Coturnix japonica: one gene and its partners. The protein of the gene in region 2 purifies or fractionates together with the protein of the main gene of each other region. This does not show direct contact. Links are inferred from orthologs where the notes say so. Each region holds a gene or a part of one and is shown on either strand. Other genes may lie near its edges.

Evidence for each region. Proteins that work in one complex are often made in the same cells at the same time.
Region 1: the proteins of KCMF1 (region 2) and ACOT9 purify together in Homo sapiens (affinity purification with mass spectrometry; 3 studies listed by BioGRID and IntAct, with this or other methods). This does not show direct contact. The link is inferred for Coturnix japonica from reciprocal best matches to the Homo sapiens genes KCMF1 and ACOT9.
Region 3: the proteins of KCMF1 (region 2) and ABHD10 purify together in Homo sapiens (affinity purification with mass spectrometry; 3 studies listed by BioGRID and IntAct, counting the BioPlex papers as one, with this or other methods). This does not show direct contact. The link is inferred for Coturnix japonica from reciprocal best matches to the Homo sapiens genes KCMF1 and ABHD10.

Annotation. Positions count from the first base shown.
Region 1 is NC_029516.1:107,410,922-107,415,070, forward strand, and holds the start of ACOT9 (acyl-coenzyme A thioesterase 9, mitochondrial), read right to left. Parts: upstream 2,801-4,149; 5' UTR 2,677-2,800; coding exon 2,663-2,676; intron 1,451-2,662; coding exon 1,359-1,450; intron 335-1,358; coding exon 308-334; intron 1-307. UniProt on the Homo sapiens protein: Mitochondrial acyl-CoA thioesterase. Catalyzes the hydrolysis of acyl-CoAs into free fatty acids and coenzyme A (CoA), regulating their respective intracellular levels. Regulates both mitochondrial lipid and amino acid metabolism.
Region 2 is NC_029547.1:47,688,734-47,692,233, reverse strand, and holds part of KCMF1 (E3 ubiquitin-protein ligase KCMF1), read left to right. Parts: intron 1-2,942; coding exon 2,943-3,082; intron 3,083-3,500. UniProt on the Homo sapiens protein: E3 ubiquitin-protein ligase which accepts ubiquitin from an E2 ubiquitin-conjugating enzyme and then transfers it to targeted substrates, promoting their degradation by the proteasome.
Region 3 is NC_029516.1:79,418,018-79,421,987, reverse strand, and holds the start of ABHD10 (mycophenolic acid acyl-glucuronide esterase, mitochondrial), read right to left. Parts: upstream 2,801-3,970; 5' UTR 2,777-2,800; coding exon 2,644-2,776; intron 1,826-2,643; coding exon 1,642-1,825; intron 1,467-1,641; coding exon 1,355-1,466; intron 248-1,354; coding exon 110-247; intron 1-109. UniProt on the Homo sapiens protein: Acts as an acyl-protein thioesterase that hydrolyzes fatty acids from acylated residues in proteins.

The sequences.
Region 1 (4,149 bases), on a different chromosome or scaffold from region 2:
AAAGCTAAGTAGTGCAGGAACTGCTACGTAAGAGATTTTGTATCCCACAAGGCAGTTAACATTGTGTTATCCATCATGCGATCAGAAACAAGCACAGGTCTAGTACAACAGTCTGGTCACAAAGATGACCAGAGACACTCACTCGTCATGTCCAACAACCTTAAAGAAGGCAAAGGGGGCTTTAAGCAAGTCAGCGGAGAAGAAGTGGTCTTCACTTTTCAAGGATGCTGAAGTAAGGCAAAACAGTAGCTAAGGAAGTTGAGCATTTTAGCAAATATTAAAATATATACGGGTTACCACAACACACCATTATTCACGTGAATGGGTAATTGTCCTGTGGAGTGGAAAACACAGGTTAGGTTAACAATGAAAAAAAAAAACAACGGAAATTACACCCATTAAGGGGTTTACTTAATTACTTTACCTGCTTAAACTCCATTTAATTAGATAGCTCTGAAGTTTAGTAAGCAACTGTACGCAAATTGTCCTTGCTCACGGCCAAGATTTATAGCCAATACCTTTGTGATTTCAGTTGATTTAGCTCTTCCTTTCCAGCTTTATAATTCCTTTATCTACTGGCTACATGTAATATCTGCTTGCATTGTAATCCCAAACAGTTTTTCAGACCACTTATTTCAGCAAATATTTCTCTAACAAATACTGAAGAAAAGGCATCTAACAACCCAAAAACCTTTATCTTCTCTTTAACTGGATAACCCAGGGTTTCTATTCAGAGAGTAAATCAGAAACAGGCAGAAGTCCACAAAGGAATAGTTTGTATGTAGTTTCAGTCCTCTTCCTCCTTCCTATTTCTCAGTATATGGGATAAGAACACAAGGAAACATTTTTAATGCTTCTGAAACAGCAATGCTGTGGTTTATTAGTAGCAGAGCGTTAAAACAATCTTTCCACACAAAGCTCTATTGACAAAGTGCATTTTCACAAGGCAATCATGCTAATCAGATTAATAGGTTTCTCTAACTTCATAAAATTAGCAGTACTGACAACTTCTGTTCTGTAAGACTCATTGTTTCCACTCAGTTCCTGTCTTTTGGCCATTTTACTCGGGTTCCTTAGCACTTTGCTTTATTGCATTGACTTTCTAGCTAGAGTCATTCCTCCAAATAGAACTGCTCGCTCTTCCAAGACTAAAGATCCAGACACCTGTAACTTCAGTCACCTACATATGTTTGTTGCCACGAACCTCCAAAAACATGCAGTCATTTTCTGATGCTTTCTAAACATTTGTAACATAAGAGGCAAGGGTGTGCCCATCCACAATGCACACAAACCATATAAATAAAGTGAGCTGCTGAGAAATGTTTATAAATCTTTCAAAGTACAGGCAACTACTTTACCTTCAGCCATGTCTGGAAGCAATGGCGAGCCATTGGTCCCAGATACCAGTGTTCTAGCCAGAAGAGAAGGAAGTTTCTGCATGGTGTACAACCTATATGGAGGAAATTCAGCGTGATTAGTTTGAAGGCTATGAGAATAATATAAGATTTACTTTGGAATGGCACTGATTAGTTCAGAACCTCCACGCCTTGCTTTTAGTACAATTTTTAGAACCAGATGCAATGCATACAGTAATTCAAGCCAGCCACTACCATCTGCAAACAGGAAGGATGATTCACTGGAGGTGAATGCTGACTGTGACTTTCAGAAGCAGGAGGGAAATCGATTTTTTTATGTGGGTAGATAGTGATAGGACATGGGGGAACGATTTTTAAATAAAAGAGAGAAGATTTAAGTTAGTTGTCAGGGGGAATTTTTCCCTGAGAGGTTGGTGAGGCACTGGCACAGCTGCCCAGAGAAGCTGTGGTGCCCCATCCCCGGAGGCTCAAGGCCAGGTTGGATGGGGCCCTGGGCAGCTGAGCTGGTGGGGGGCAGCCCTGCCCATAGCAGGGATTAGGGCTGGGTGGGTTCTGAGGTCTCCTCCAACCTAAGCCATTCTGTGACTGTATGACAGCCATGACCCTAAATATATGCTTCGCTTGCACGGGGCTGGAATGTGCAGAAGTGTTAGAAGGACTATCCTGAGGCACCTATCACACAGCCTCCAACTCAGTGCCACTCGGCTAACCCTGGTTTTTGTGCTCATGGTTTGGTATGGGCACAACACTTCACAAGCCCAAAGAGCAGGATTATCCCTCAGCTGCTCAACAGAAAGTGACAACCATGAGACCTCTCACAGAACATAACCTACCCTGCAATCCACCCAGCGCTCAAACAGGCAGCACAGCAAACAAGACTGTGGCAACGCAGCACAAAGATAAAGGAATAAAAGCCCTCCGGATAGCACAGGGCACAGGGGCTGCCAGTACCTTACACCGAGGCTGGGCAGCAAAAACCCAAAGCACCAGTGGAGAAATCCGAGCATCTCCGCAGCCCCCCATACACACCGATCAGAGCGGTGCTGATGGTGCAGCCCTCCATAAGGACCATATTAGCTCCATATTAGCTTCAGGGCTAAGCCCCCCTCCCACAGCCCGGCCAGCTGCCCTCAGGTCTCCCCTCAGAGCCCGCAGCCCGCTCCCACATTCCCACACCACAACCGCAGCCGGTGACCGCGCCCAGCCCTGCCGTTAGGGGCCACGGCAGACTGCGGGGTAACGGGGGGAAGGTACGGCCCCTTCTGAGTTGATTTGCCCAGCCTTACCGCCCGCTCAGCATGGTGCTCACCACGTCCACACCGCCGAGACGCGCCTGCCCCAGGCACGCGGTCCTCCAGCACCATAGAGGCGCGGCGGGACAGCGCGGTCCTTCCGCTGGGTGCTCCCGCCCACAGGCAGGAGATGGCGGGCGCTAAAGGCCGGGTGGGATGGGGCTGTGGGGAGCTGAGCTGAGCCCTGACCACGGCTGGGGTTGGGGCTGTGAGATCCCTCCAACCTAAAGCCTCCTGTGGTTCTATGGCTGTGTGTTTACAGAAGCAGCCTTCATCAGGGGAGAAAGCTGAGGCAATCGGGTGCAAATTAAAAGCATGTTATCAGTGCGAGTGTCCAGCTGAGCTTCACAACACTGAATAAAATGTTGGGTCATATCACCATTAAAAGGATACTGGGGAACCAGCAGGACCATTTCCTTTGGGCTGCCACCAGACTGGGCTTCTATCTCTGTGGAGAACATGCCTCATATGCTTGTATTAATACCAGTTACACTATTGATACCAGGAAGCTTACACTCATACCCATCAGAAGTGTAAATAAATAAGCCAGCCAAGCCCTCTGGAAATCATCAGGAACTGAAGTATCAGTTTCTGCTACATCAAGAGTGACATCAGCAACACTGAGAAACCCATTTGGCGGAATGCATCCCTGCCCACAGCAGGGGGGGGGGTGGAACTAGATGATCCTTAGGGTCCCTTCCGACTTACTGGGTGAGTCATTCTGTGATGCTAAGATGACGTGAAACATTCTTAAAGCCTCTTTTTTAAACATGCTTGCCATTACACTGAAAAAAATACCAATGGTAATATATAAGTAAAGAATTACATCACAAGCTCTGAGATATCTTAAGTATGAGTGGGGTTTTCTTATGGGGGGAAGGAAGGTTGATGGGCTGATTTATTCTGTGCTTCTTATTGGCTCATAAAAGATTCTTTTGAGGCTAGGAGTTCTCCAGGTATTTTATTCTTGTGCATTGTGAGTTTGAAATCTAACTCCAATTGGTTCTAACTTCTAAAATCACAGACTCTTCTGACTTGAAAGTGAAAGAAATCAGCCACTTTCTGCTCTTACATAACAGCATTTTCTAATAGCGTGACTTCCTCATTGTGAAATAAGAAACAGCTGAGACAATTCACGTACTCTTTTTGATAGAGACAGTGTTCCCCATTGCTGATCCCAGAGAGATTACATCTAGGAGCTGAAACGATGTCTATTGATGAAATGCATTGTAGTTAGGCTGGACCTGGTTTTGGTAGCTGAGAAGGCTGAGAGGGGATCTCATAACTGTTTATAAATACCTAAAGTGTGAGAGTCATGTTGATGGGGCAAACTCTTTTTGGTAGTGAGCAGCAATAGAACAAGGGGCAATGCAGCTGGAACTCAAAGAGTTCTGTACTAACATGAGGAAGATCACAGAATCACAGAATTGTAGGGGTTGGAAGGGACCTCTAGAGATCATCGAGTCCAACCCCCCTGCCAA
Region 2 (3,500 bases):
TCAGCAGTGGGGTAATGAATTTTCTCTAGGAATGTGATTTCATCTGTGTGTGGTTTGTTTTTTTAACTGAGCAGCCTTACCTGACTTCCCAGCTCTTCTGAGATGAGGTCCAGAGGATGGCCACGTCCTCAGACATTTTTGTAGGAAAGCATTTGGAAATAGTCAAAATGCAGTATCTGAAAGATTTCTTGTGGGATGGTAATTGGTGATGGGCCAATTGCATCAGAACAGTAATTTGTGGAGCCCCCTCATTTTCCCCCAAACTGCTTCTAATTGTAAGGGCTTTTTTTGGTTTTCTCAAAAACCAAGGACCAGGAAGACAGTTTGGCAATGTTTGTGAAGCTTCTCTTTTCTGTGATAGAGCAGCATGTAGTGTTGGGTTTCTTGACATCTGTACTGAGCTAACAGCTTATGTAAGACAGATATTTACCTTTGTGCTAATCTTCACTGTCTTTAGATTGGTAATGGCTCCATGTTATTTAGTCCTTTACTTGAAAATACATAGAGGGTTTTAGACCACCTAGTAATTTTGAGGAATTTTTTGGAGATACAGAAGCTACTTTGATACACAAGCCTTTTAAACAATGTTTGCTTCTTTTTTTTTAGCTTACTGTCTTCAGTTGTTGTTTTGTTACATCCAAATTGATTAAAAAGTTGCTAATACTTGAAAATATGAGTAAGACTCCCTGGCTAGGAATGGTCCTTAGAGGAAGAGAGCTTTAGTGTTCCCGTGTGTGTGCTATGTGTTTGCTGCAGAAAATAATTCTTCATTTTCCAATCATTAGTTTAATATTTAGTCATCACGATGAGGTTCCTACTCATACTTTAGGGAAATCAAAAGATCAACTGAATGAACAGTCACTTGTTTCTAGTGTCTGTGTTTGATGGTGTTTTTGCTATTCATACAGGTATACAGATTTCTTTGCTGACGTTATTGCTGGATTACCTTGAGAACAGTGTTTTCCTGTGAAGAGATTAAATAGAGTTAAATTTGGAATTCTTCGTAACTACATAGAGATCAGTACATACAGCAACAACTTGTGTAATCAGCCTCTTTTTATTTGCCCAAATAAAATATTATGGAGGATTTTTTCACCAGTTGTCACTGAAGCATTTTTGTATTTGTTTGTATTAGTTAGCAATCGTCTTTGAGTCTTTTCCTTTTGAATGTATTCTTCTATAAGTGTATTTGTTCCCCTTTGCATACAGTTGATCCAGTCAGAGACGACTTAGCAACTTTTCAGAACTTTCTAAAGAAACCTTTTTTTTTCTTCTTTTGAAACAACGGCATATTTAAATCCTTCATATTTCATTATGCTGCAGCATAGTGGTTATTTTTAATACATCTACTCTTGTTTTTAGCAGCACTGGAATAGGAGTCTGAATGTGACCACTGGGGAAACTTTCTTAAGAGTTCTCAGTTAAATGTATTTACTGAAGTAGCATCCGGGCCTCCATCCCTTGTTCACTGAATTATTTGTGTCTTCTGTGCTGTATCTGATACATTGTCTGTAACACCTCAGTCTTGGAACTGTGTTGATTATTGTGTGACTTCTTACTGCATGTTCTGTAAAGATGGTTGATTCATCATTCAGGAAGGGAGCTTTCTGCTCTGGATGGTTGGACGTAGGTTTCTGCCACTTGCTCTTGGGAATGAATTAACCTATATCCAGCATGTGAAGTGTTTCTGTTTTGGTGTAGCTTCTCATCTGCTTAGTATACTTTACCATACCTCTTGAAAAAGGCGACTTGAATTTCTTACTCTCAAATCTCTGGAAGCCCTTTTTCAAAGTAAGAGGAAAAAGGACCTACTGAATATAAACTCGGTCCTGTGGTGTGCTCTATCTGAACAGCTTTGTTCATCCTGTATCTTTAACTGTATGCTGGCATGTTATTAAAACATGTTTTCCTGTGTTGGTTTTGGAGTGTTAGCTCTCATAACTTAGGTAATGTCTGCTAATGTAATAGACTGTAGGTACATGTATTTTTAGCATCAACATTATCTTTTGTATGGCTACAGAAATGAAAATGCTTCTCTTCCTCATCATTTCCTAAAAACAGCTCACTAGCAGAAGATGAAATAAACCTTTGGAAGTGGTGACTTATGTCCCCAGAAGGAAATATTCCTAATACACTAGATTGATATTGTCTTGAGATGCAGGATATGTTCTTCTAGCTCTACAGATTTAGCCTTTTTTAAACTTATAGAACAATATTCATAATTCTCTGAAAGTCTTCCACTTATTTATGATAAAGTCCTAGAAAGATGCTAGTAAATAAATTTTAAACAAATTGCTCAAGAAAGATGTGTTTTCTAATCTTGATGTGGATGTGAAGTTTGTTCATGTTTCCTGTGAAATACGTTAACTTCTGCAGAGGAGGAGAGAGGAAAAGCATTATTTATTGCATAATTTGTATGGAGAGCTGTTTAGCAGTTTGAAAGTATGTGCTTTCATCAGTGCTTGACATCAACACGTAGTTAGATTTCTTTCTTGTATAATTTCTATATTAAAATATTTCTAGAAGTTCTTACTACTGAACAGTTGCTTTGTTGTGGCACAAATATTGATGTCACTGAGGACTTCTGAATTTAAAACTAAACTTGTGATTTAAAAATATCCTAGTGATGTTGTACTGAGGACAGCAGGAGTGATGGAAAAGTGAAGATTTGTCGGCAGCAGCAGCCAGGACTCTTTGCTACTACTGACTATTAGGAAATTATATTAAGGAATTGTATCCTGACTGTTTTGTCATCAGTAATTGAAGGCTTCTTGAATATAAGTGTATGGCTTTTGTGGAGGATTAATATAGAAATCTCAGTTAAATTCCAGATTAATTTGCTGCTGATATTATATTCAAGTACGTAAAGAAATATTTAAGTGAACGAAGTAATTGACTGAAATACTGTGAAGTAACGTCTATTTAAATATTTTGTGTTCCAGATTTGTACTATGGTGGAGAAGCTTTCTCTGTAGAGCAGCCACAGTCTTTCACTTGTCCTTATTGTGGGAAAATGGGTCACACAGAAACAACTCTTCAAGAACACGTTACTTCTGAGCACGCGGAAACATCAACAGAAGTGGTAAGAAGCATCAGAACTCTTTAATTGTGGTGGAAATTCATTAAATAGAATATTCAGGAAAACGGGTGCAGTGTTTTTCTTGAAGCATGAGTTCTTTTAAATGCTTTAGAGGAAGTTGCACTTCAAGATAACATTTTTTGGGGGGGTGGGGGTTATTCTCAGATAATGAGCTTCCTTTTTACTTTTATGGTTGCTGCTTGGTTACTGTGATGTAAAGGTTGCTGCTTTTGGGAGCTTTAGCTGTAGAACAACATTTAAAGCATTCTTGTGACTGTGCTTCCTTTTTACAACCAGTGTGCAATTGCTAAATGAGTTTACGGTGTTGGGTAAGACCATAGTTATGGCAGTCTTTTGTTACTGTAATTACATTCTGTATGCAGCAGAAGCTGTAATTCTTCTGTGACTTGTTCTCAAGGGA
Region 3 (3,970 bases), on a different chromosome or scaffold from region 2:
GAAATATCGGAAATCTTGAAGGGAAAGTACAGCTTGAACAAAAGAACTTTTTTCAAGCGTTTACCTTGCCAAATGTTTTGCTTGCACAACAGACAACCATCAGCTTTACCTCAATGGAAAGCCTCCTAAAGGCTGTTACGAGATGGTCTGCTGCTACAGCTACTCCAACTAGAGCAGCTACTTTATCTGGGCGTGCTATCGCAGCATGGAGCATCAGCCATCCTCCCAAGCTGGAGCCCACCAGAATCTTAAAAGAGAAGAAAACAGATGTTACTTTATAGGAAACAGCTTTTATTTTCTATTTACAAAGCGTCGGCTTTCATCTCATTTAAGTACTTAAACCTTGGACATAATCCTGCTGTCCTTACCCAGGCAGAACTGTTGTCACCTCCAGTGGAAATTTTGCCTGAGTAAGCACTGCAGAATCTGGAATGTTATTACTCTTTTTGTTTGACACGGATGGCTATTGATCTCTGAGACTGAAACACTGCAAACAAAATGAGAGTTGAAACAATTCAGTATTGCTTCCATACTTTTCTTAAAGGCCCATCAAAAGGCTCTGTGCAGCGGCAGGTCAACAAAAGCAACTGAGAATATAAAATGTTTTTCAAATACAATACTAGGCTTTTCCGGGATGCAGACTGACTTTCTCACAGTCATTTCAAAAGTAAATGAAGAAGCCAATCACTGTTTTGGCTCGTTTTTGTTAAGCTATTTTATTATATAGAGCATCTTAACTTCCAACGTTCCTGCAAATCCTTCAATTAATGGATCAGCAGTGGGACAAAGCCTCACTCTTCCAAGAGGAGAACTGCAAAGCACTGAACAGCTCCTTATAATCAGCATCATCATAGAATCATCATAGAATCACAAGGTTGGAAAGGACCTATAAGATCATCTAGTCCAACTGACCTCCCTTCACCATACCTACAGAAAACCCTTAAACCATATCTCCTAGCTCCTTATCCAGACACTTCTTGAACACTGCCAGGGATGGCAACTCCACCACCTCCCAGGCAGGAGGCTTGTCCCTTACTAGGTGGAACCTCCTCCACAAGCCTTTCCCAAACCTCTTGGGACCGGGTCAGGGCTCATGTAACTCAGTGCCAGTGACAGCTCTGCTCTACTGAAGCATCTCCTGCCAACCCACACCTTCACAAAGTTGTGATAAACCTGTTTGCAAAAGAAGCCCTACAAATAATGTCATTTCAAACAGGCCTGCTTGACAGCTAGAAGGTGCAAGCCGTTAAACAGAAGCTATTCTAGACAGGATCTACTGCAGTGTATTTTTGATTACACAATATTCCACCTTCAGGAAAAAAAACATGTTTTATATTTAAGGATGAAATACAACCTGTGGTCCATCTGTAAGTTCATCCAGTACAGAAAGAACATCTTTCCTCCACTTCCCAATTGTACACTCCTCAAAGTTCCCCTGTGAACTTCCACATCCTGTATAATCAAATCTGAAAAACCAATCATCAAAAGTTGTGGTACTACCTACAACAACACAGAAAATAAAACTCAGCAGTATTGCTGAACACAAATTAAACAGAGCTTGTGTACAGAACAGCATGCACTACAAATCAAACACCCAACTCAACATATGATACCTATTTCATATTCTCAAGAACAATGTACCTGACGAAGGCATGACCTTGACAGCTGCAGAAATCTTCAAGGGCAATTGCTTTCTGACCATTCATATTTGACTGGAAGCCTGGAAGGAAAATAACCCCTGGATTCCTGCCTTTCAGCTTACGGTAGGCTAGATTTGGTCGATCAGGTCGAGTAAGAAAGCTGACTGACGACTTCCACCTGCAAACTAATAAAGAGAGGTATGAAGTACCACCACTAAGACAGCTCTGGCAGAAATAATAGCATTTTATAAAATGAGAATTCAGGAAATATATGTATGTTATGTGAAATTACAGTACTTAGGCTCAGGAGAAAAGAAAAACAGAAGTGTCTTCTACATTCTTCAATACTGTAATGTAATGATTTGAAGGTGCTTAGCAGTAACATCAGTCACATGCTGACTACTGTCAGTAACACTGAAAATTAGGGTGATAAGCTCTGAGTCAAGATCCTCAGCACTGTTTCATCTTAACAGCACTTAGACACAAAACACAGGAGGTTAAAAAATCAAGCTGTGTTTTCTGTAAATACAAAAAAAAAAAAAAAAAAAAAGTATTAAATACAAATCATATGGAGAAAGAGTTGACTGTTGTGGAAATATACATTTCTCATGCATCTCCTAAAGAGGCAAAGATCTGCTGAACTCAGCAGCCAGCTGTACCTCTACTGTGGATGAAGATAAGTGGTTTGTAGAGAGGCGTTACAAGGAATTAATCCACTCTATTATCCCTCTCAGCAAGATAACGTGTTAAACTGAAAGCTTGGACAAGACTTCTGATAAGACTCTAACCCTCTTAATCTTTAAGATTAGAGGATTGTACGTCGCACACTCCGCTCTCAGGTAACACCCCCCGCCCCTTTTACCCCTGGCAGCTTTCCAGCCGCTCTACCCCAGCGGCAGCAGTGCCCAAAGAGTGAGACCCCGCACCAACACACCCGCCCCCTCCTCCTCGCGTTTCCTCAGGCAGCGGAGCGGCTCCATTCCCACCCGGGGCCCCTCCTTACCCGGGAGCCCCAGGGCCGCACTGAGCAGCGGCAACCCCAAAAGCGGGACTGAGGTGCAGCCACTGCACCGCCGCAGCCCCAAAGACGCCGCCATGTCCGCCTCCACACGCATGCGCCTCCGCATGCGCTCCATGGGCTGCTGTGGTGAGCGGGTGCTGTACGTACCTCAGGGCTGCCCATCGAGACCTCTCATCTGTGAGGGAGCAAACAGCTCCTGTCTGTTTAGTTTTGCCCTCAAACTCAGCGTACGCCCCAGTCCTGCATCCAGACACCATCTCTACATCAAACCTTTCCCTTACAGATAAAGCACTTAATGCTGTAGAAAGGGGTGTGATTCAAACGGCTTCAGGAGCATCACTGGTTCTGTTGGATTCCAGAATATCAAACGAAAGCATGGGAACCAAACTAAAGAAAAGCGTTCTTTAGTTCTTTAGTTCCCAGTCTGTGCAGGACTCTCTGCAGGCAGCAGGGACAGCAGCACCCGGCTACAGGTGCATCAGTTGGTAGTTGATAGACTGATAGCTCTGGAAATAAGATGTTTGAATAATAAACCTTCTCATTTGTCACATCCTTTTAGTCCTTCACTCATACATTCATTTATTTAATTAAAATCACAGACTGAATTTGAATTTTATCTCTCAGAAGGGAGTTGGAACAGCGGTTCTAACATCAAGGTAATGGTTTTCTGTTTCAGTCGGGCTCTAGATAATTAGCCATAGAGAGTGAAAGACTGGATGATGTTTTAGGAATGTGAAAGTGTGCCTATACATCATAAAGCAAGGTGGCAAGATGGCAGTTAGTTGGGATGTATGGGAAGCTGTGGGACCACACAACATTGCTTGCACAAGCGTATAAAATAATGAGAAGACAAGCAGAAACACATCAAGAATCAAGCGAGCATTTAAAAGTGTGTTTTTAAAAACATTTATTGAAATGCCTTCATTGCATCATGCAGGATACAAAAATCATGATTAGAAAACCTTTATAACTATGCTAAGAAGTAAAATCAAGATACGTCAGGGAAAAATAATAATTACAGATACCAAAGGAATTTATTCTGATAGTGTTTTTAAATGGTTGGATTATAAGCTGTGATCTGCACAGATGATAACAGTTACCTTGTGATAACTGTCCCTTCTTTCATTGATTCCAGTCAAAACTGACCGATGTCATGCTAGCAGAGCAACCCATATCACCTGTGTGTATCACACAAGGAAGAATGCATCCCCTTCTTAACAGACATGGGAGTACAACAAAGATATTTTGCCAGCAAACTTGTTTTGCTTTCAGTTTTTCATCTGCTTCATCAAAAGCCATTAGCTTTTCA